Linked DNA regions of Drosophila melanogaster. The protein of the gene in region 4 interacts with the protein of the main gene of each other region in a pairwise test. Each region holds a gene or a part of one and is shown on either strand. Other genes may lie near its edges.

Evidence for each region.
Region 1: the proteins of Exo84 (region 4) and CG11248 interact in a two-hybrid assay, tested with the Drosophila melanogaster proteins (one large-scale study listed by BioGRID).
Region 2: the proteins of Exo84 (region 4) and IFT54 interact in a two-hybrid assay, tested with the Drosophila melanogaster proteins (one large-scale study listed by BioGRID).
Region 3: the proteins of Exo84 (region 4) and CG2182 interact in a two-hybrid assay, tested with the Drosophila melanogaster proteins (one large-scale study listed by BioGRID).

The regions. Positions count from the first base shown.
Region 1 is NT_037436.4:21,678,147-21,683,778, reverse strand, and holds CG11248 (uncharacterized protein), read right to left. Parts: upstream 3,730-5,632; 5' UTR 3,627-3,729; exon of another isoform or gene 3,547-3,626; intron 3,480-3,546; 5' UTR 3,473-3,479; coding exon 1,346-3,472; intron 1,285-1,345; coding exon 1,156-1,284; intron 1,100-1,155; coding exon 863-1,099; 3' UTR 548-862; downstream 1-547. Other genes in the region: Sfp78E (seminal fluid protein 78E), read left to right, coding at 1-114, 177-451; Als2 (amyotrophic lateral sclerosis 2), read left to right, coding at 4,281-5,632.
Region 2 is NT_033777.3:14,300,808-14,304,982, forward strand, and holds IFT54 (intraflagellar transport 54), read left to right. Parts: upstream 1-1,620; 5' UTR 1,621-1,648; coding exon 1,649-1,783; intron 1,784-1,847; coding exon 1,848-1,965; intron 1,966-2,024; coding exon 2,025-2,587; intron 2,588-2,652; coding exon 2,653-3,603; 3' UTR 3,604-3,651; downstream 3,652-4,175. Other genes in the region: red malpighian tubules, read left to right, coding at 1-211, 421-676; su(Hw) (suppressor of hairy wing), read right to left, coding at 4,001-4,175.
Region 3 is NT_033777.3:5,655,736-5,661,594, forward strand, and holds CG2182 (uncharacterized protein), read right to left. Parts: upstream 4,178-5,859; 5' UTR 3,896-4,177; coding exon 3,800-3,895; exon of another isoform or gene 3,742-3,799; intron 2,973-3,741; coding exon 2,406-2,972; intron 2,198-2,405; coding exon 1,064-2,197; intron 837-1,063; coding exon 618-836; 3' UTR 501-617; downstream 1-500. Other genes in the region: MED27 (mediator complex subunit 27), read left to right, coding at 26-470; Wdr33 (WD repeat domain 33), read left to right, coding at 5,229-5,513, 5,804-5,859.
Region 4 is NT_033777.3:26,049,205-26,054,164, forward strand, and holds Exo84 (exocyst 84), read right to left. Parts: upstream 3,054-4,960; 5' UTR 3,026-3,053; coding exon 2,986-3,025; intron 2,926-2,985; coding exon 2,767-2,925; intron 2,714-2,766; coding exon 2,383-2,713; intron 2,329-2,382; coding exon 1,556-2,328; intron 1,497-1,555; coding exon 967-1,496; intron 912-966; coding exon 726-911; 3' UTR 527-725; downstream 1-526. Other genes in the region: Vps2 (vacuolar protein sorting 2), read left to right, coding at 3,713-4,025, 4,086-4,543.

The DNA.
Region 1 (5,632 bases), on a different chromosome or scaffold from region 4:
TGGTAAGGGTAAATCCGTATATGGAGTATTATGGATCGTACATTTATTTTAAGGCAGACGGAGATCGGCACCTAAATGAGGACTTAAATCGAGCGACGGTAAAGAAGACTAAGTGTATGGATTACATGGATACGAGTAGTATTGGAACATCTATGTTAATAATTATTTCCCCCCAGATGGTTGGCAATGTGCCGGGGTGACGTGCCCCATAAAGTTTACGGCATCTTGTAAGGTAACAAAGGTCCTAAAGCCCTCTGATCTACAGCACACTGAGCTCCTGATTTTGTGCATGGATAAAAACGATAAGCCTATGTGTGGGATAACACGAACTCGAAAAGGGGTAATACAGGAAGTTCTGGACGTGGATGAAAACGGAAATACGATATATGACAAAAAGGAAGTTATTTCGGAGAACGATGGTACTAAAATCCCTAGGTGCCCACGAAAGTAAATGATGTGCACTGATCGACTTCACACAAATATGTTTTATCTACACAAGGTTTTTAACTTTAAATGTTATGGACTATAAAAATAATTACACATTTTTGTGGCAACCAACAATGGTTTATATATCTTGTAGAAAAAATATTGGTATAGTTTGGCAATTAGTATGTATATAGAATTGGTGAAACTAACAGAATGCGTTACACATAAATAAAGATAACGAACACAAAAGACAACAAAATAAATATTTATATAAATTGAACTAAGTTGGATCTGATTGAAAATTAGGCCTATGAGACTAGGCACAAAAACTCAATTCACTAATTGCCCCTTTTAGGAAAACAAAATTTGAGACTAAACAAATAGGTACTAAATAGGAAATTTATAAGTATTTGACTGAAAACTAAATTATGCTCGTCTAAGAGTGCTCGGCCACCGCTCGAAGTTCATCCATGAGGGAGGGCATGGGCTCCACTCTCCTCCGTTCCCGACCAGCAATAATAATCCTGCTTAGCTCCTTCATATCAGACTGGCAGGCGGAAATACCCTCGCCTAATTGGCACAAATTCGGTTGGCATCGCTGACTCCGCTCAATCAGATCGAATATGAAGCTGTTGCGAGGGCGACATGTTTCATTGGCGGTTTGCTGAACGAGCTGTAAATCAATTAAGGAAATGTCAAGAGAAGCCAATCGGAGGGGAACATACTTACCTTCTTGTAGTCATCAATAAGATTAGCCACTTCATGGGCGGGTTCCTGGGGCGTGTTGCTAGCCGTCGATTTGCCCGAGTCCGAGGCCTCAAACCGCGCTCGCTCCATTACCAAAGTGTGCTCCAGACACTGTAAAAAGCAATTAATTGTGTTACAAAGAGTTACTTTAAGGGAGTAAGACATAACATACCTTAATTTTTGACAAAGCTTGCTGATGCCTTCCGCTGATCTCCGCCAGCTTCATTTTAAGCCCAGGAAGCTCTTCAGCCTTTCGATTGTTAACCCTCCCATTTCGCAGTTCCTTTCGAAGAATTTTGGCCAACTGAGGCCAGCTTTTTATATGTGGTAGCCTCCTTCCTGTTTCCATCTCAAGAACGTGACCAAGAGATCGCAAACACTCTACTGCTTTGCGTTCTTCTCGCGCAATTTCCTCCTTCTCATCTAGCAAAGACTTTACCTGGCCTTGCAGCCTTTGCATGTTAATCGACGCAGCGGAGTTTATCTTCAGATTCTCTTGGAATGTTTTCTTCAAAAGCTGTAACTCTAGTCGATTTTCCTCGTCCTGCGCTTGGCTCAATTTCTGGAGCTTTTGCAGTTCATCATTTTGTCCAGCGAACAATTCATTCAGGTGCTCCAATTCAACCGTCTTATGCTGTAGTTCTGATCGCATTTCCTGCTCCAAGCTTTGAGTAGCTTGCAGAGCATCTAACAGTTGTTGCCAGTCTGCTTCCATTTCGTTAGTGCTCTTGATTTTAGCTTCTTGCTGTTGAAGCAGTATTTGGAGCAGCGAAACTGTGTGCAATTTTTGGCTCCTGACATCCGCTAGTTGTTGTTCCAAAGTCTCAATGCGTTGAACTAAAATCGGATCTTCGAGGTCCGTTTGGGTCGCTTGGTTGTGTTTCAACTGCACTTGCCAGCCCTCTGTCTTTTTGATTTGGACATCGATACGGGACTCTGCTTCGGCCAACGCTTTTCTCAGCTCATCACACTGCGCTGCATAATCTTTGAGTTTCTCCATTAGCTCACTTTCCTTTAAGGAACCGTTTTGCTTCATTTTGGCAATCTCGATTTTCTCCAGTTCCAATTGCTGTTTAGTCTTTTGACACAAGGAGCACATTTCGGCATACTGTTTTTGAAGAATGTCCACCTTCTGCTGTAGATTTTTCAAGGTCTTTTGCGCCTCACCTAAATTTTCTTTTAAGCCTTCCTTATCTAGTTGTAACGAAGCCAAAGAAATTGTTAAATTTTCCACCTGCTCCAGTTTTAGAGCATTGCTTTGCCGAAGTTGAGTCTCCTCCAAAAGTTGTGCCTGCAATGCGAACTCCAGTTGCTCAAGCTGACGCTGCTGTTCCTCGCATTGCTCTTTCATGTGAGACATCAGCATCAGCTCGGCCTGAAGCTCGTTAAGAGAATTCTTAAGGCTGGCAATTTCACTCGTTTTTCTGTTGATCTCTTCGTGAAATTTCATGCTATAAGAGTGCATAATTTCCATGCTACTCTCCCGTTTCAGCTTTTGTTGGTAGTACTGTTTCAAATCCAGGAACTCCTGTTCCTTTAGCGCTAACAGATGCTCCTGCGTTTGCAGCGTCTCGTTAAGCTCAGCAATGACTTGGCGCAGCTGATCACGCTCCGCGGTGACACTGCGTAGGGTAGTGCTTCTTAGCTCTAGCTGGTGCTCCATTTGACTTTTAAGGTCAAGTAGTTGCTTGCATTTTCCAGTCACGTGCTTGCTCTCCAGCTCCATGCCGACAACAGTTTGCTGCAACTGCGAAAGTTTTTCATCGTGTTCCAGACTGATCCTCTGGATGTCGTCCAGAAGCATCTTCTTTTGCCTTCGGAGCACGTCGATCAACTGACGCTGATCCCGTAGGCGCGCCTCCTGCTGTTTGGCCTCAAAAGAGGAGTCGTGTGACTCCGAGTCTGCTTTAAACGGCGATGAGCCAGGGGAAAATGGTGAGCCCTGCTCCTGCTGCTTCTCCAGAGTGGCGCATTGTGTGTGCAGGCGGATCGATTCTTGCTGCAGCTTCTGGTTCTCCATCAAATACTTCCGTTCCTGTGCGTACAATCGTTCTAGCGTCTGTAGCCTGCTGTGCTTCTGGGACTTAAGCTCCTGCTTGTACCACTGCTCCGATTTTAAGAGCCTTTGCACCTCACTGCGCGTCCGAAGCAGCTCTTGCCGCACCAGAAAAATCGATTGGTCCGGTTCAGGCTGCGGCGCCGGTTTCTGAGCAGGATCTCCTACTCCATCATCGCTAGTGCAGCTAAAGTGCCCTGAGTCGTCAGCCAAAGCTGTAGCGCCCTCGCAGTCCAAATCCATAACCGAGCTGAAAAAATTTTATTTTAGGAGGGTGAGTTTGTGGCTTAAAACAACTTTTGTGGGCGTATGCAAACCAGCAGTACCACACGGAGGTGTCCACTGAGTCGTACTAGTTGATGTTTCTGAACAATTGTTGACGGTTGTTTTTTTTTACCGTGGGTAACTTTTCCTAATTAACGATAAAACTACATTTTAAGCGAAATAAACAAAACATGCAAAAACTTTTGAGTCGAACAGCTGATGGCAAAAACAATATGACCATATTAAAACAAATTGATGTATCGCAAAAAAATACCAAAATAACTTTTTTGTGTTGACTGGTTCCATGATTATGGCGAATGCAACTAAGGAGTTATTTAAATTTATATAAGAGTTCTAGCTAACTACAATATTGAGTTTACGTATAAGGTATTATGTGTGTTTTCAAAATTGGTTATAAAACAACAATTTGCATGGACCAAATAAATAGTGATAAGCCCAATTTTAGAACGTCACTTTTACCCGAACACCCTTACTTAATAAATTCTCATTGGGACTCGATAGCGCTGGTCACACTAATCCAAAAAACCATCACAAAAACATGAATTCTTATTAGCCAGTTAAGAACAAGTGAAAACAGAATTTATTTTATCGTGGCAGCTAGAGTTGCATTCCGAATCAAGTTATATGATGTTCGTTGGTGCCAGTAGTGCCTAGCGTGGACCGGAGCACGTGCACGATGTGAGAACGACCTGCAGACAAATCGAGCAATTGCGTCGTGTTACAAAGCTTTGGCCCTGTCCAAAACCCCAACAAAAATTTGCACATCATGGCCAGTGCAGCGGATGACTCGGCACTTGGGGGTCAGGAGGAGCGGGAGTCCTTCACCATCTATCATGAAGGCAGGGAGCTACAGCTTCACTGGCGCGGATTGCCGCCCCTGCAGCGGTTTCCCGCATCCCGGATTTGCAGCAATGCCGGCGGGGAACTGCTCCTTCTGACCACTGACCACGCCCTCTACTCCGCCAAGCTGCAGGCCAACCGCGAACACATGGATCTTCAACTCCTGCGTACCGATGTTGTGGATATGGACTTCTGCTCCGGCAGTCAGGAACTATTCGTAGTCCTCACCAATGGCTCTGTGCAGCGCCAAGCCACGGGATCTGGCCGGGATGTGGGTCATCCACATGCGTGGCAAACCCTCGGTTTCGACCCTCTCGAATTGCATGCTGAGGGCGTACGCATCCGACGGGTTTGCTGCTCCGCCCAGGGCGTTGTCTTCGTCGGCGCTAGTGGGGAGACCTATGTCATGGGCAGCTGCGGCGAAGTCTTCAAGGCAGAACAACAGCCTCGGCACATGCGCCTTTACGAAGAGGGCAAGGAACTGTTGGACTTAGCAGCCGGAAACGAGCACTTTGTGATGTTAGTAGCTCCCTACAACCTGGCCGACGATGCACTCCAGCTGTCGGTGGCCAGTGCGAAGGAAGAACCCGAGGATGAACGGGCCTCTGTAAAATCCATAAGCAGTGGCCACTCGGAGCGCAGCGTTGCGGCTAACACAAGGCACCTTCTTCACCAAGGATACGCTCTGCTCCACACCCAACTTTTCACATTCGGAGCCTCCAATAATGGTCTCCTGGGCAGTGGGGATCATATCCGGAGGGCCAATGTGATGCGCTTGCAGAAACTAGACAGCATGGGCGTGTGCAGCATTGCAGCTGGATTAGAGCACACGGTGGCCCGCACTCTGGACGGAAGGCTCTACCACTGGGGCCTGAACAACCACTCTCAGTTGGGTGAAGATGTCAGCTCGCCCATGGAGATCACAATTACGGAAAACACGGCAGCACTACCCATAGAACAAAACTCGGCGCTTGAGGCGACTTGCGGCGACTACCATACACTACTGCTCAATGCCTCGGGTCAAATACATTCCCTTCAACCTGCGCCTCCAATGCGACATCTGCAGCAGTCCAGCACATACGCGCAGACGCTTCTCCAGCTTCAGTTGGGAGCAGCGTGGCCCAGACAACTACGTTTGCTTATGTGTTCTGGCGGATACACACTTCAAAACCAAAGGCAGTTCCAGCGGCAGTATCACTACTATCTGAGTCATCTGCAGTCACAGTTACAACTGCTTCTCAAGCATCGACAGGCAGTCCAAACACTCGAAATCTGGCA
Region 2 (4,175 bases), about 12 Mb from region 4:
TTGCCGGGGAGCTGCTGGTGGTGCAGGCCGGCGACGAGGATCCATCGATGATGCACGGCCACGGTGGTTGCAGCGGCAAGCAGAGCAAGAGCCTGGACTCGGTGGCCGCAATGACGCCCGAGGAGGAGAACAGGAAATGCATGAACGACTTCCTTAACAAGATAGACAACACCATTTCTGAGTCGCGCAAATATGTGGAGCGCTCTAAGGAGTAAGTATTTCCACCACTCAAAAGAGACCCAATCAATCAACATTTAAGATCATTCAGCTGTCAATATTGGTATTTAAATCAATTAATCATAATTTGATAAGCTGACAGAACCAATAGAAACTGGAAGTGATAGGTGATGAAGTGATGAACGAGTCGCTAGCTTGTAGAATTCTATCTACATCAACTAATCATTTGCTTATTCCTTCCAGCCTGGTCAGCAGTCAGAGTGATGCGGACATCTGCATCAGTGCCACCGCCGACGTTTTCCCGCAGCGCCGCCATCCGCTGAACAACTCCTACAAGACCAACAACAACGACCGTCCGTCGCAGTATCAGCGCCACAGCTCGACGGGCAGCGGGAACTCCTCGGATACGGCGCACCTGCTGAACACGACGCAGACGCGACGAGTCCAGAATTCGCTGAAGCGGCTGGAGAAGCAGCAGGACGACTTCTTTGAGTTGTAGCGTCCGTCTGCGGGACGCAATCTAGCCTAATTACGCAGAGAGTTAATTTTACAATTCGTTTTTAATTGCCGCGCATTGGGGAGATGACTTTGGTCAGCATGTTACATCACACGGAAATGCCGCACTCTAAATGTAATATAAATAATGATATCTATCGACAAATATGCGCGATACCTTACCTATACGATAAAACATTAATGTAACTGAGCTAAAACCTAAACTAAACTATATACCTAAACTAAGCGCTGCGCTATGTAAACCTGTAGTACGATGACAAGGCAGTTCTGTAAACCCATTTTGATCTTGTGTCAGCCCTGTATAATTGCCGCCAATTTGCTTGCAAGATCCGATCTGAACCGCATCGAACAGATACGGAAGCCTTCTGTCCTCCTGTCCGCCCTCCTGCCCCCCATTATGTTTACTTTTTGTATGACTCTAGCTTTAATCACACTGTGTATAATTTAGTTATGAGAATTATTAATGTTAATTGTATATAGTCGCCAGAAAACACAACAATCCAACTGGACTGCTCTGACCGCTAAAACACGAAATTGGCCAACTGTTGACGTGTAATTTTAATTTATTTTTTAGCTTTCCAAAGTATTAAACCCGAAACGTTCTATATAAAACCGTAACCTCAATTGTTAAACAAGCATCCACCACAAAACAATATATACACCAATATATATTATGTATATCCCAGAAACCTCAATATCGAACTGCACTCATATCGAGCCAAGTCATGTTGTACGTGAGAATGTTTTTTAAAATAAAGTGAGAATTGTGTTGGAACAAATGCTGTGGGTTTTAGTTATGAATGAACCTGCCACTAGCTTCGAACTGCCCATGGAAGCGATGGTTGGTCACTGTAGGGAAGTTCACCTGTTTGGTTGCCAGGACAACGTAGCCGGGCCAAACAAAGAAAACCGAAAGGATAGTTAGCCACATTTCAATTGAGAACGTGTGACGAAGATGTCGGAAAAAGATCTGGATGCGATTATTTTGGAGACCCAAAAGGTTTTGGGCAAGTACATCAAAAAGCCACCGCTCACGGAGAAGCTGCTGAAGAAGCCGCCATTCCGATTTCTAATGGATGTCTTTAGTAACGTAAGTGGTTGGAAATCCCTCACCCCTATAAAAAGATTGAAAGTTGAGCCTCATTTGTGGACAGTTTATCAAGCAAAGTGGCACATTTGATGGATTATACACGCCGGAAGAGCAGATGTTCGAGAACATAACCAGTCGGGAGGATAAGATTCGATTTCTGCAGAAGATGATCGATGCAACCAGTGAGTTTGGCTTACAATGCTGGTGCTCTGAATTAGCTACAAGGTGTTTGCTTTCGCAGAACTAACAACCAAACTGGATCTCAAAGTACGCACTTCAAAAATAGTTGCTGGCCAGGAACCGGAGCTCACCAATGAGCTCCTCCAGGCGATGGCCAGTGTTGCGGAAAAGAACTTGGAGTGGGACAGCATTGTGGATCAGGTGGTGATTTCCCACAGCAAAACACCACTGACGCTTACCAAGCCACCGAAGGAAACTAAAAATTCAAGCAAAAATCCCTCACCCGCCGGCAAGGATGAGGATGCAAAGCGACGCAAGGAGAAACGTATATCGCCTCAAGAGCAGAAGCTGCGCAAGGTCAAAGAACAGGTGTCCCGTTCTACTCCCCCCACCGAGAAGGATAAAGCATCCCAGAAGAAGTCCAAGGCACCCAAGGATGAGACGAAGTTAAGTCGACAAAACTCGAAGCAAAAGAGTCCGTCACCAGTTAAGCAGAAGTCCAAAGCCAAACTGCAGCCTTCAACAGAGAGCGATAATCTTAGCCAGTCTATGTCGCCAGTGGAAGAAGGATCAACCAAGCCTGCTGCAAGCGAAAGTGCTCCAAGCAAACCAGAGCCGGAAATGGTAAGAAAAATAAGTTAATTTGCTTTAAAATTAGAAATCCATAAGTTATGCGTATACCCAAACAGGTTCCTCCATTAAAAGAGAAGGAGGCAGTGGTGAGACCTGTCCAGGAAACTCCAACTGCTCCACCAGCTGAGCCTGAGAGTCGCAAATCCTCTAGCAGAAGTCGCCGTTCTAGTGGCAGCCACAGGCAACCGGAACCTAATCCCATTCCCAATGAGAGCCAATCCCAGCCAGCGGTGCAGTCGTCAGAAACCAGCTCTCCACCGGAGACCAACAGCGGCGAAGCGAAGCGGGAGGTTCCCCTCACCAGAGAGAACTCTAAGGAAGTGAATCAACGGCCCAGAACCTCACTTAGACCTCCATCCGCTCGACCCGCCTCCGCACGTCCCGGAGCTCCACGACGTCGCAATGTGGAGATCGTGCTCCAGCCAAACGATCAGATCAAAATGTCGGGCATAAATGTAAAGCTTGAAACCTTTGGCGACTTGGACGACGACGGAGAGAACCTGGTGATCATAGAAGATTCCGCCGCCCATGATATTGTCGAAGGTGGCGGTGACGAACCGGCATTGGAAGGACAGCTCGATGCCCAGGGACGATTGGTGCAGCAGATCTTGGAAACGCAAAAGGAACTGGTCAATCAAGGCGCCGAAGTGGAACCGCCTCCAGCACAGGCAGGCCGACAAACTTCTGCGCGCCAGGTGAACGACGTACGCGACGTAGTCCAAAAGCTCACCAAGTCGATAGGTCCGCTGGGTAAACTACTGGACTGCATACCCGAGGATTTTGATGCAATGCAGCTGGAGCTTACGATGTGGCGCGACACCTACACGCAGGCATCCACGGAACTAAAAAGGGAGCAGACTCTCACGGCATCTGCCACGGAGCCCCTGCAGCATCAGTTGCAGCAAATCCAAGCCAGCATTGCGGAGTACCGGGAGCTAATCGACGAGAGTCGCCACAAGATCTTGCAAAACAACGCACGTATTCTGAAGTTGATGATGGAACAGTAAGCATTGAGGATTAATAAGCATTGTTAAAAATTCAAGAGAGTTTTATCGAAAATATTGAATTTGTATATTTTATAATTAATAAGAGTACTATAAAAATAGCCATGCATATATTGCTTGGTAACATCATTCAATTCAAAAATATATAAAATCTATATAATAATATCAAAATATCTTTGATATGTAATATGTTGGTTTGTTTGTTTTTGGGTAATTTGTCAATGCGCAAGATGTCTGAATATTCAAGCAACAGACGGTAAGTTTCTCTTTTAAGGTCACTTGGTGTTTGTACCAAAACCAACGATCTTAAAAATACAAATGTTGTAAAAATCATCAACGATCAATTCCTAGAATATGGTTTTTGTGCGGTAATTGTACGCATGCATCAAGGGCTGGAAAATCAAGCTTTCTCTTGTTCGCCTACAGGTTTTTTCTTATTTTCCCGGACCACCTCCTCTGAGTTATCCTTATCCACAGCTTTCCCCACGATCTCCTTCTTTTCAGATTTCGCCGAAACTTCCTTCTTTTCCGGTTTCTCTCTGATTTCATTTGTTTTAGTTTCGCCTGTGACCGAC
Region 3 (5,859 bases), about 20 Mb from region 4:
ACATCTTTCTTCCTCTGATTCTTAGCCACATAGATAAGCTCCTGAGTGAGATCAACACCCCTCCGCATACTTCGTACAGAATTTTTCGTCCCTTCGGCACAAACGCTGTCACCATCGTAACAATAAGTAACGTGATGAAGGCGGCTATTGTCTTCAAAGGAGTGCTTATAGAGTGGGTTACGGTTAAGGGATTCGATGAGCCGCTGGAGCATGACGACCTGTGGGCCGAGTCACGTTACGAGGTGTTCCGCAAAGTCCAGGATCATGCTCACTCAGCAATGCTGCATTTCTTTTCGCCGACGTTGCCCGATCTGGCAGTGAAAAGCTATATAACCTGGCTGAACAGCCACGTCAAACTTTTCCTGGAGCCCTGCAAGCGTTGTGGGAAATTCGTGGTGAACGGATTGCCTCCGACGTGGCGGGACCTGCGCACTCTAGAACCCTTCCACGAGGACTGCCGAAATTGCTAAGGATTTTTAAGTAATTTAACGCCGATAGTTGTAACTTGTATACTTCATTTATTTCAAAAACAAAAATTATATGTACTTTGAATGCATGCGGGCGGATTTTTTAAAATCGCTGCGCCCGACTGAATAACTACAACGGTTTAATGCGTTTCATTGGCCAACCAGTGCAGAAGTCGTCCGCTTCGATTTCTGCACCTGCGTCTGAACGCCGTGCTGCACGCACAGTCGCTCGAAGTTGGCGCGCAGTTTTGCGCGGAGCTCCTCTCGCTTTCGCTGCACTTGCTCCCGGTGGCACTTGAAGGCCATAACCACCTCCTGGGGAATGTAATATGTCTCCTCGTCTTTGTCGTCGTATTCGTCGAAGTCGTCCTGCAATTAATAAAGTTTTATTACTTTAATTTCGATATGGCAAATCATTTGCATAGCCCACTCTGTCTAGAATATTTTCTGGTAATTAATTCCGACCCTAAGCTCTTGATGATAAGAGTCGACAGGGCTTGCCGCAAGTCTTAGATTATGTTTAAAAAACAATAATTACAATTTTCTTTTTCTATTTTTCCACTTCCTATTTTTATAGAGACAATCTTGCGACTCACCCACATCTGCAACAATGAAAACTTGTGATCCAACTGCGACTGGTGACTGTAGAAGAGCAAGTCGTCTGAGTCCTCATCGTGGACGTCGTGATTACACAGTCCATCCGAGCAAGACACTTCCGAGCCTTCTGGTGACGAAATCGCGCTAGATGTCCGAGAGCCGGCATGCGAAGGTGGATCGCTGCCGTATCCAGAATCGCGCACATCCTGCTCGCACGGGCAGTTAGGCATGGACGCCAGGCACTCCTCGCACTTATCGCCAACCGTTTTGGCGATGCTTGACGAAATGCAACTGGCCACGTCAAGTTGATCGTGATCAGCATCCAGCGGCTGGACCCTAGCCGTGGCTTGCATCTGCTTTTGGTTGCCCATCTTTGTGAAGGCCGCTTTCTTCTGCTTCTTTTTCTTCGATTGCTTCTTCGGTTTCGATTTCGTTGGCTTGGACGTTAGCTCGGGTTCGGGCTCCGGGCTCCGGGCTGCCTCTATAACAATGCCATCGTCCGCACCTGGATCGCTTAGCTCCTCATGCTGCATCTGACTCTCCTCCTCCAGGTCTAGTTCCTCATTCCGCAACTCTTCCTCCTCCTCGTCAGACTCGTTGGCCTCGGTATCGTCGCATTGCCGGTGCAGCAAGTTCTTTTTCTCGTCCTTCTTCTTCTTCTTCTTGAGCTTCTTCTGCTCGCGCTTGATCTGCTTGGCCCTCTCAGCACGGCTGATCTCTTGGTAGAGTAGCTCCAGATTGCTGATTCCCTGCTTCTGCTCCACGAACGTGTCAAAGCTGCGGCAAAGGGCGTGGACACCCACAGCGGCCAGCACCTGGCATGCGCGCTCCTCCTCCCGCAGACTGACGTAGATGCGACGCAGCCGTTCGTACATAATCATGCCCACGCAGGTCAGCACCTCTTCCTGGGCAATCTCCAGCGTCTTAGCGTGGCGCTCGCGCAGTTTAGAGTAGCTACCGTTCACCTCGGGCTCGGCCCGCTTGATCAGCGCGTCCAGGAACTCTATCTTGTTTGTGGTCACGTGGATGTGCTGGTCGGGCACGCACTTCCGAATATGAGCGTACAACTGGGCCGCATAGCCCTTCTCCTTGGACGATATTTCACCAATGAGTATTTTGTAGGCGCGCTCAATCTGCAAGAAAAGTGAGAAGAAGTTTGTTTAATAATATTGTAATGTAATCAATTTTTTAGGATATTTTGATAGTCAGCTCCGAAACTGTATGAAGAACTGCATTATAACTTTGAAAACTAAAAGCGTCCAAGTATTTGTTTTAATTAACTCACATTAGCAAACTAATGGAATCAATTCAGGTCATTAATTTTAATATCCTATATCTAACCTTTGTACGGCAGCCAGAGCAAAACTTGTGCTTCTTCAGGTAGTTCTCCAGTACGTCGTGCAATTCCTTTGTCTCGATGATGGTTAACTCGTTGCGGCAGTTACTCTTCATGGCGGACCACACCTCTCGCCATGTCTCCGAAAAGGGTTTGGCACGAAAGGCGTCCAGCGAATGAAGAACGCAGCGCGTCTTGTTTCGCAGTTTGTTGTCCAGCAGGTTGTTGAGAACCTCATGGTGCCGGTAGAGCAGCGTTCCCAGTGCCTGCGGAGTCTTAAGCTTCTCCTCCACAATGCCCAGGGTGGCAGTGGGTCGCAGTTCCAGCGGATCAAGTGTTCGGTGCCCCGTCTCGGTTAGTTGGTGAAACAACCGCTCTACGCGTCTGCGGCAGCCAACGCACTGGACACATTGATTGAGGACTTCCATAAAACTGGCACTGTCGATCTCCAGCGATTGCCGGCGCTCGGCCTCTGTGAGCAGTTTGAATTTCCGTGAAAACTCCTCCAGTTCACGTCCGCGGATCAGCGGACTGTCGATCACTAGACCTTTGCTGTTCAGGTCCATGAGCATCTGCAGAGAAAGTAGAGAATTTAATCAGGGGAGGTTATGGTACATAAATGGTATTGTGAGTATCTGATCTATTTGATCGAATGCACTAGTTAGCAAAGAACAACTGATATGTTTACATTAGTATTATAAAGAACTTTTATCCAACGCTGTAAGTAAATAAATAATTAGGATCGCGATCCAATGATATTTGCGGTGAAATGACCGACAGTATTAATATAACGTCTAATTGTTTGCATTAAATATAATAATCCGAGAAAACATACAATACATACAAAACAACAGCTGTTCTTTGAAAAAACTAACGGAGCTCTGGACACTGGCATAAATCCACCTTCAAACGTATCGATAACAATAGGGGTCGGGTGTGCAACCGATGTCATTAACTAGAGATTTTGGCCAGAGAATCTGAGCCTGAGAGATCATCACCTCTAGAGATGGTGACGGAGTGCATGCGATGTGCATACAAACAGGTTCGTGTTGTTGCACTTTCCAGCAACATGGCGGCCGTGGCCAGGGAGGCGGAGAAAGAAGAGTTCGGTGGGTGGTGACAGGTGCAGAATCATAATTGCAGCTCAAGTTCAATTAATAAATGCACGATACACACCAATTCAAAGCAAAGAGAAGCGAACTCACACTTCGTCACCATCCGCCACTTACACATAACAATCCGCCGTGTTATGAAAGTTTTTGGACCAAGTGCACGCACACACTCACAGCGGACGTCTCTGTTGTGTGTGCGTCTGTGTACGTGTGTTCTCTGCTGGCAGTCATTTTCTTTGGATAGACGGCCGTACATATAGCGGAAATCGGTGCGGATATATGCTTACCATTAATTTATCGCCAGCCACCAGGGGCAAATTTCTGCGACCAACGTAACCGGAGTCGTCGTCGTCCGTGTTGTAGACCTTTGTGAGTCTGGCCATTATGGGTAATTTGACTTCGCGAGCCAACGACGGGCAAAACGAAAATTCAGGCACTTTGCGACACAGACACACACTTTTCTCTAGAGGTCCGGGTGTGGGAAATGGAGATCAGAATCGACTGGCGTATGGCAGCAGCGTGCGTATTCACAAATAGTGTTTTGACAACAATATCCACTCTCTGCGCAGTTCGAGTGGCTTTGGGAACGCTCTAGAATCGGCTACAAAAGTGTCTTCTATGTCAAACACGTAGTAGGCAGCAAGTCGGTCCGGTCGCCATTAAAACGGAGCAGAGTTGCCAGTAGGGGGTGTTGATAATATATCAATGTATCGAGGTATCCAAGCGATATATTAGTATTTATATCGCGATATTATATCTGCCTAAGATCGTGAACACAATATATTTTTCGAATATTTCATTATATTTTCGGACTTGCATCTTAAAATGTAAACATAAGTTAGTCAGTGGTTTTTCAGTCAAATACCCGCATTAATATTCGTAGCATTCGAATCTCTTAGTCGCATTACTGTCATTCACTTTTCTTAACGGCTATTTTTATTGATTGAAAATTATTTCCAGAAAATATTGTAAGAATAATGTATTCTTTGCTGAATGCTGATAAAGAAAACCTAAAACTGGTGACTGTGTAACTAGCGGAGGCAAAGTACATTTACCGTAAGTAAACTAAAACTAAAAATAAAAAATATGATTTATTTATTCAATAATTTAAAATTAGTTGGATAGGCCTGTCTGGCAGCACACTATCGCTACGCTACTATCGCTACGCTACTATCGCTACCACAAACATATCGAGATCAGAAGAACCAATTTTTGCTGAATGTTTAGTTTTTAAATATTATTAAGAAAAAATAAATAAGAACCTGAGAAAAACAGTGGTGACAACTCTTACAAATCTTTCAAAGAAATAAGATAAGCATGCATAAAACTGACAATTAAATTGTAAGGCCATAAAGATAAATAAAATTGATTCAACTCCTGACTGCTGTTATATATCGATAACATTGCAATCGAAGCACACGCTGGTGTCCGCGTTTCGTCGTGAATTCCTCAAATTCGCGTTGTTCGGAAAGTTACTAGTTATTTGCAACGCGGCGATTTGCAGGTCGTTTTTACCTATTTAGTCTAAGCATTAGTACACCCACCACCGCGCCAATGCCAACACTCTAGAAAACACGAGTAAGTAGAGCTTTGCGTGGGTAATAGCGTCCAACTAATACGCCCACTACGCCTTCATCTGTGTGTGTGTTTGTGTGCGGGCGAAGACATTTTTTGCAGCCAAGCGGAAAAAGAGGCATTGGAAAAAACAGCCGCAACATGGACGTATCCCAGCCGCCACCGCAGCTGCTCACGGCGCCCTCGGCCCTGGCCACCAACTTCACATCGCTGCCCCCGCCGAACATGGGCGGCCAGCACTACCGTCACTACCATCCGCACCATGGGTCCAACAAGCACGGCTACAACCAGTTCAAACCCTTCATGCCCGGCGGCTTCCAGCGACCCTTCGGAATGTCCCAGGACGACTTCGACGGCAAGCGACTGCGAAAAAGTGTGATGCGGAAGACAGTTGACTACAACGCGTCCATCATCAAGGCACTGGAGGTGATTCCATAGGTCATTTAGAATGGAAGTAGATTGACTGCGAAGTTTTGATTTGTAGTCGCAGAGAATTGTATTGTTATTATTATTATAAGATCAATTCACCCCCATTAAAAAAGTTCATTTCAAAAACCATTACTAGAGCTACACATTTAAAAGGCCAATCGCTATAACATTTTGTAGGTTAATACGCGGTAAGCCCGTTACCTGGGCTACCATTTTTAATTAGTTTCGGACCTTGTTATGTCGATATCCCATTTTAAAATTTCAAAAATATATTTTTGTTTTCGCAGAACCGATTGTACCAGCGGGACTATCGGGACCGTTTGGCTTTGCAGCCGGACAGCAT
Region 4 (4,960 bases):
AATTTAGCTGAAAAGTCAGACAGCGAATGCAACAACAAATGTAATTTTAAGTTGTCAGTTTCCTTACCTCCCAACGTCCCTCCAAACACACACCACACACACACAAACACAACATACGAAAAACACAAAACACATTTGCATAAAAGGTATATATATATATATATATATATAATTATAAATGAATATACTTAGTAAGCATTTTAGTTAAGAGTTTTACATTATAAATTAAACACGGAAACCACTTTCGAAACACTCACTCGCATTGGGGGTCAGTAGTTAGAAGCTCAGAGCAGTCCGCTTTGCTTGTATGTAATTTGAGAAAATGTGTAATGAGAAAATCGAGGAATTAATTGTGTGAATCAAACTCAACTCTTCAGAACCAAGTGTAAAATCCTATATTTTGAGCAGCTAAACCCAACACAGAGAGAGCCGCATCAACAACCGAAACCGAAAAGTAGAACACAGCTAAATTGTTTAGTGTTTAGAGTATATATATGAAAAACAGAAAACGAATCGATTTATATATATTTACAATTATATATATAATGCGAGCGGCGAAATTGTAATAAGCAAGAGATAGAGTGCAGCACACGCTTCGATTTTTAATTTTACAAATATTATTATTATTGTGGTTATATATGTATATAATTATATTATAAATAATTGAAGCAAAACGAAAAAATAAAAAATTATATGTAATCGAAAGTAAATCCCACGGCGTGCATCTAAAACACATCTGTGGTGTAGACGCTGCGCTGGCGCGGCACTGGAGCACCTTGCTGGCGGGACATTTTCGTGTGCAACTCGCGCAATCCCTCGCACTGGCGTCCAGAAATCTGTCGAAACTTGTCGATGGCGATGGGCAGCAGGTTGTCCACCAGAAAAATCTTGTTCTTCATTACAAAGTTGGGCTGAAAATGGCATTCTTGAAGAGAGCGGTTTTATTTAAGCTGCTTTCTAACTTACATCCACGGCCATGTCGCTGGGCGGTTTCAACGAATGCTGGGCAATGAACAGCTCCTTAAGAAGCAGTTCCAGGCTCTGCAGCAGGGTTTCGCACTTGGCCAGACAGCCGCAGTACTCGGTGAGCTGCAGGAAGTGTCTGATGAAAACCACTGTCGACTGGGTGAGATTAATCCATGTGTCGCCCGTCGCCTGGGCTCGCACATCGATACCCAAGACATCGAGCTCCAGGAGCAGACGCTTCAGGTTCGACTTGGTCTGCAAATTGTACGGCTGCCAGCTCTCCTCGGTGCGACCCACGGAGTCCAGCAGTCGCTCCTTGGATTCCTCTATGAGCGACTCGAGTGTAGTGCGCAACAGACCTTCCAAATGATAACTAATGTCCAGCCCGATCTCTGTGAGCTTTGTCGAGGGCTTGCGCACTCGCTCCACACATTTGGCCACTGACTCCAGGGAGGTTCCCTTGGTCAGGTAATGCTTTATCAGTTGGCTGGCAAAATATTGCAGCTCCGCATTGCACCAAACCACGAGCGCTGCAAGAATTAGATAGTAGTAATACTTAAATGTAGACAGAAATAGGAATGAAGCTTACCGCTAACGCACGCCGGTTGCTTCTCAAAGGCGGTGAGAAAATCACAGGCCACCTGCGTCAGGTCACAAAAGAAGAGTTCCGATATATCCGCATTATTCCTGCGCGCCTCCCGTTGCGCCACCCGCAAACTGACGGCGCAGACCTTCAGCAGAGTGGCACTCGCCTGCCGATAGCGACCCATCTCTACGAGAATCTTCAGAGGCCGCTTGGCTGCTCTCAGAGCGATCTGCAGATTGCGATTGTGACTGTTGGACAACTCCTTGAGCAGCACATTGATCAGCTTCAGCTCCTGCTGCTTCACCTTGGTTTCAATGGCGTCCGCTAGTGGCAACTTCTTTCGGTTCTCGTTTCGCAAGAAGTCCTGGGTTCGCTTTATCAGCTCCTGGGCATCCTCGAAATGCCGTTGGGCCACCAGGGTCTGAATCTCTTCACTGGCCGTGCTTAGCCACTCGGGCGTCTCATCCTCCAGGGATTTGGGCTGTCCGGGACTCTGGGGTGTGGTTTCCTTCTCCGGAGTCGAAGCTTTTGACTGCTGTTTGGCCCGAGTTGGAGGCTGTGGCGCCTGGCCCTTTTTTGGTTTCTTTTGCTGGTCAAAGCGGAAGGCCTCTTCGAGCTTCTCTATCCACTCCGTCTTCCCAGCAGCCGTGATGCTTTGATAGATCTTGGAACCATCTGGAGTAATGATATTAATGGCATTCTTAACGCCATCCAAGTCCTTAATGTTAATCACGGCTATTTTCTTGGGGTCGTACTCGGTGAGGAAATCCAAGCGCCTGAAAAATATTACTATTAGTTTTTGCTATATGCTTTAGTATAGGAAAACCTACTTATCATGCTTCACTTTGCAGACAATCAGTACATCGTTGAAGAGGAAAAAGAAGACCCTTTGAATGGGTCGATAATCATTACTGTCCAACTCGATTAGAGCTCCCTCGTTGAGGAAGGTCTTGCCTTCCAGATTGCCATTGAAGCCCTGGACCATTTCCTTGACCGCCCGCGTGGCATGGCTATTCTCCAGATCCTCCGTCGCCGTAGTGCTCTCCGCCTCCAAACTCTCTGCCTTCAGGTGACTGGAAGTCTTGCCATCCGTCATGGTGGCCAGAATATTGCGCTGCTCAATCAGAATGTGCGACAGTTGATACATTTCCGACTCGAGATCTGCGATGCGAAAATATTAACATAAATGTATATTGATATTGGGGGGCGTAAACTACGTGATATCTCCTTGGCCGTCTGTATAAACTCCATATAGTTCTTTTTGCATGTTTGCTTGAGCGTTGCTGCCGTCGTTTCGTTGTAGGCCTCGATTTCCTTTTTTCGCTGCTGCAAATCGCTGCCACCCACACATTCTCGTGTCAGGTCCTTGGTATCTGGGAACGTTGTACTTATTAGTAGACTGATTAATGCTAAATAGACATAGGAATACTTACATTTCTCAACGCTAAAATTAAAATCGTCGAACTCCTTCATGATTCTGATTGGAATGTAAACTGCAGCTGACGCAGAGCCATTCACAACGAACGAGCGTCATCATGAGGTGTCGATTGTAAGGTTGCTGATGCTATAGAAAATGCCATGTTTTCACTGCAGTTTTCCCTGGTATTAGATAAATCTATAAATCTAGAACATTTTTATTTAGTTTTAAGTAATAGGAGATTAATTAAGATTTAAAACCTATGAAAAGTTTTATTCGAACTGAACGGCTACGTCAAAGACCTTTTAGAGATCAACAAATTTATTCGCATTTACATTTCGGATTTTCATCTTAGGTATGATTAGGCGTTGAAGCCCTGAATACTTTTTATTCGAACTGAACTTTTAAATATAAACGACTACGTCAAAGATCTACGTTAAAAATCAAGAAGACATATGTCTATATGTATACTATTCATTACAATGTGTGTGTGTTGTATTGTAATAAATTAAAATTATTTTCCACCTGTTGCTAATTCACTAAGTTGAAGTGTGAACAGTTCTTTCAGAGTGCACCGGCAAAGCTTCTTCTTCCCACTAGCACTATTCGCATGTAAGCGCCAACACGTCTTGGCCACCTTAGAATCGCGCACACCCTTCGCTTATTGTTTTGGTTGATGAGTAATCTTTAGGAAACTCCGTCATTCTTCGTAATTAAATCTTGCAGTTAAGATATCCTTAAACATGGACTGGCTATTCGGCAAGAAGATCAGCCCCGATGAGATGCTGCGTAAGAATCAGCGGGCGCTCAACAAAGCGATGCGAGATCTGGACCGCGAGCGGATGAAAATGGAGCAGCAGGAGAAGAAGATTATCGCGGATATCAAGAAGATGGCCAAGGAGGGTCAAATGGATGCCGTGAAGATCATGGCCAAGGATCTGGTGCGCACGCGGCGGTATGCCAAGAAGTTCATGCTGATGAAGGCAAACATCCAGGCGGTGTCCCTCAAAATTCAGACGCTCAAGTCGCAGAACACAATGGCACAGGCCATGAAAGGTAAACATTGGCTATTTGGCTGATTCACCCGCTTATCAAGCAATTATGCTTATCTTCCAGGTGTCACGAAGGCCATGCAGAACATGAACCGCCAGCTGAATCTCCCGCAAATCCAGAAGATCCTGCAGGACTTCGAGAAACAGTCGGAAATGATGGACATGAAGGAGGAGATGATCAACGATGCCATCGATGACGCCATGGAGGACGAGGGCGACGAGGAGGAGACGGATGCTGTTGTGTCCCAGGTGCTGGACGAACTGGGTCTGCAATTGGGCGAACAGCTGGGAGACCTTCCTTCCGCCTCCGGTTCCCTTTCCATAGCCGGCGGCGCTGGCGCTCAGAAAGCACAGGCTGTGGCCGCTGGTGGCGTTGGCGGCGGTGGAGCCGCCGGCGGAGGTGGAGCTAGTGGTGGCGGCGCTGGTGGTCCGGGAGCTCCCGGTGGCAGTGGTGCCTCATCGCCCATGTCCGATGCCGATGCGGATCTTCAGGCGCGCCTGGATAAGCTGCGCAAGGATTGAGCCGCTACTAAGAACCACTGCCTGTCCACTTTATGTAAGAGCCACCACCCGTTTGTATCTCCCAGAAGCGAATGTTATATTAAAGAGAATGCTTGTGATTTTCGTTCCCTGCGTGTTTGAAAAATCGATGAGTAATTAGCATTTACAAGCTATAATGGAAAGAACTGGGTAGTGCTGCAATCGCACAGCCTAGCTACAAACAAATTCGCAATACTTGTTACTTTAGAGCTATACAATATTCGGTATTTTAAAAGATATGTACGTTTCATGCCTGTCTTCAATAAAATAAGAAAAAGGAATTTCCAAATCATGAAATTATATATATATGTATATACATATATTCAGCTTTAACTATAAATGCAAAATTGTGTTTATCTGAATAAAAAGAAGTACTTTCCTAAATTTGTACTATTGGGT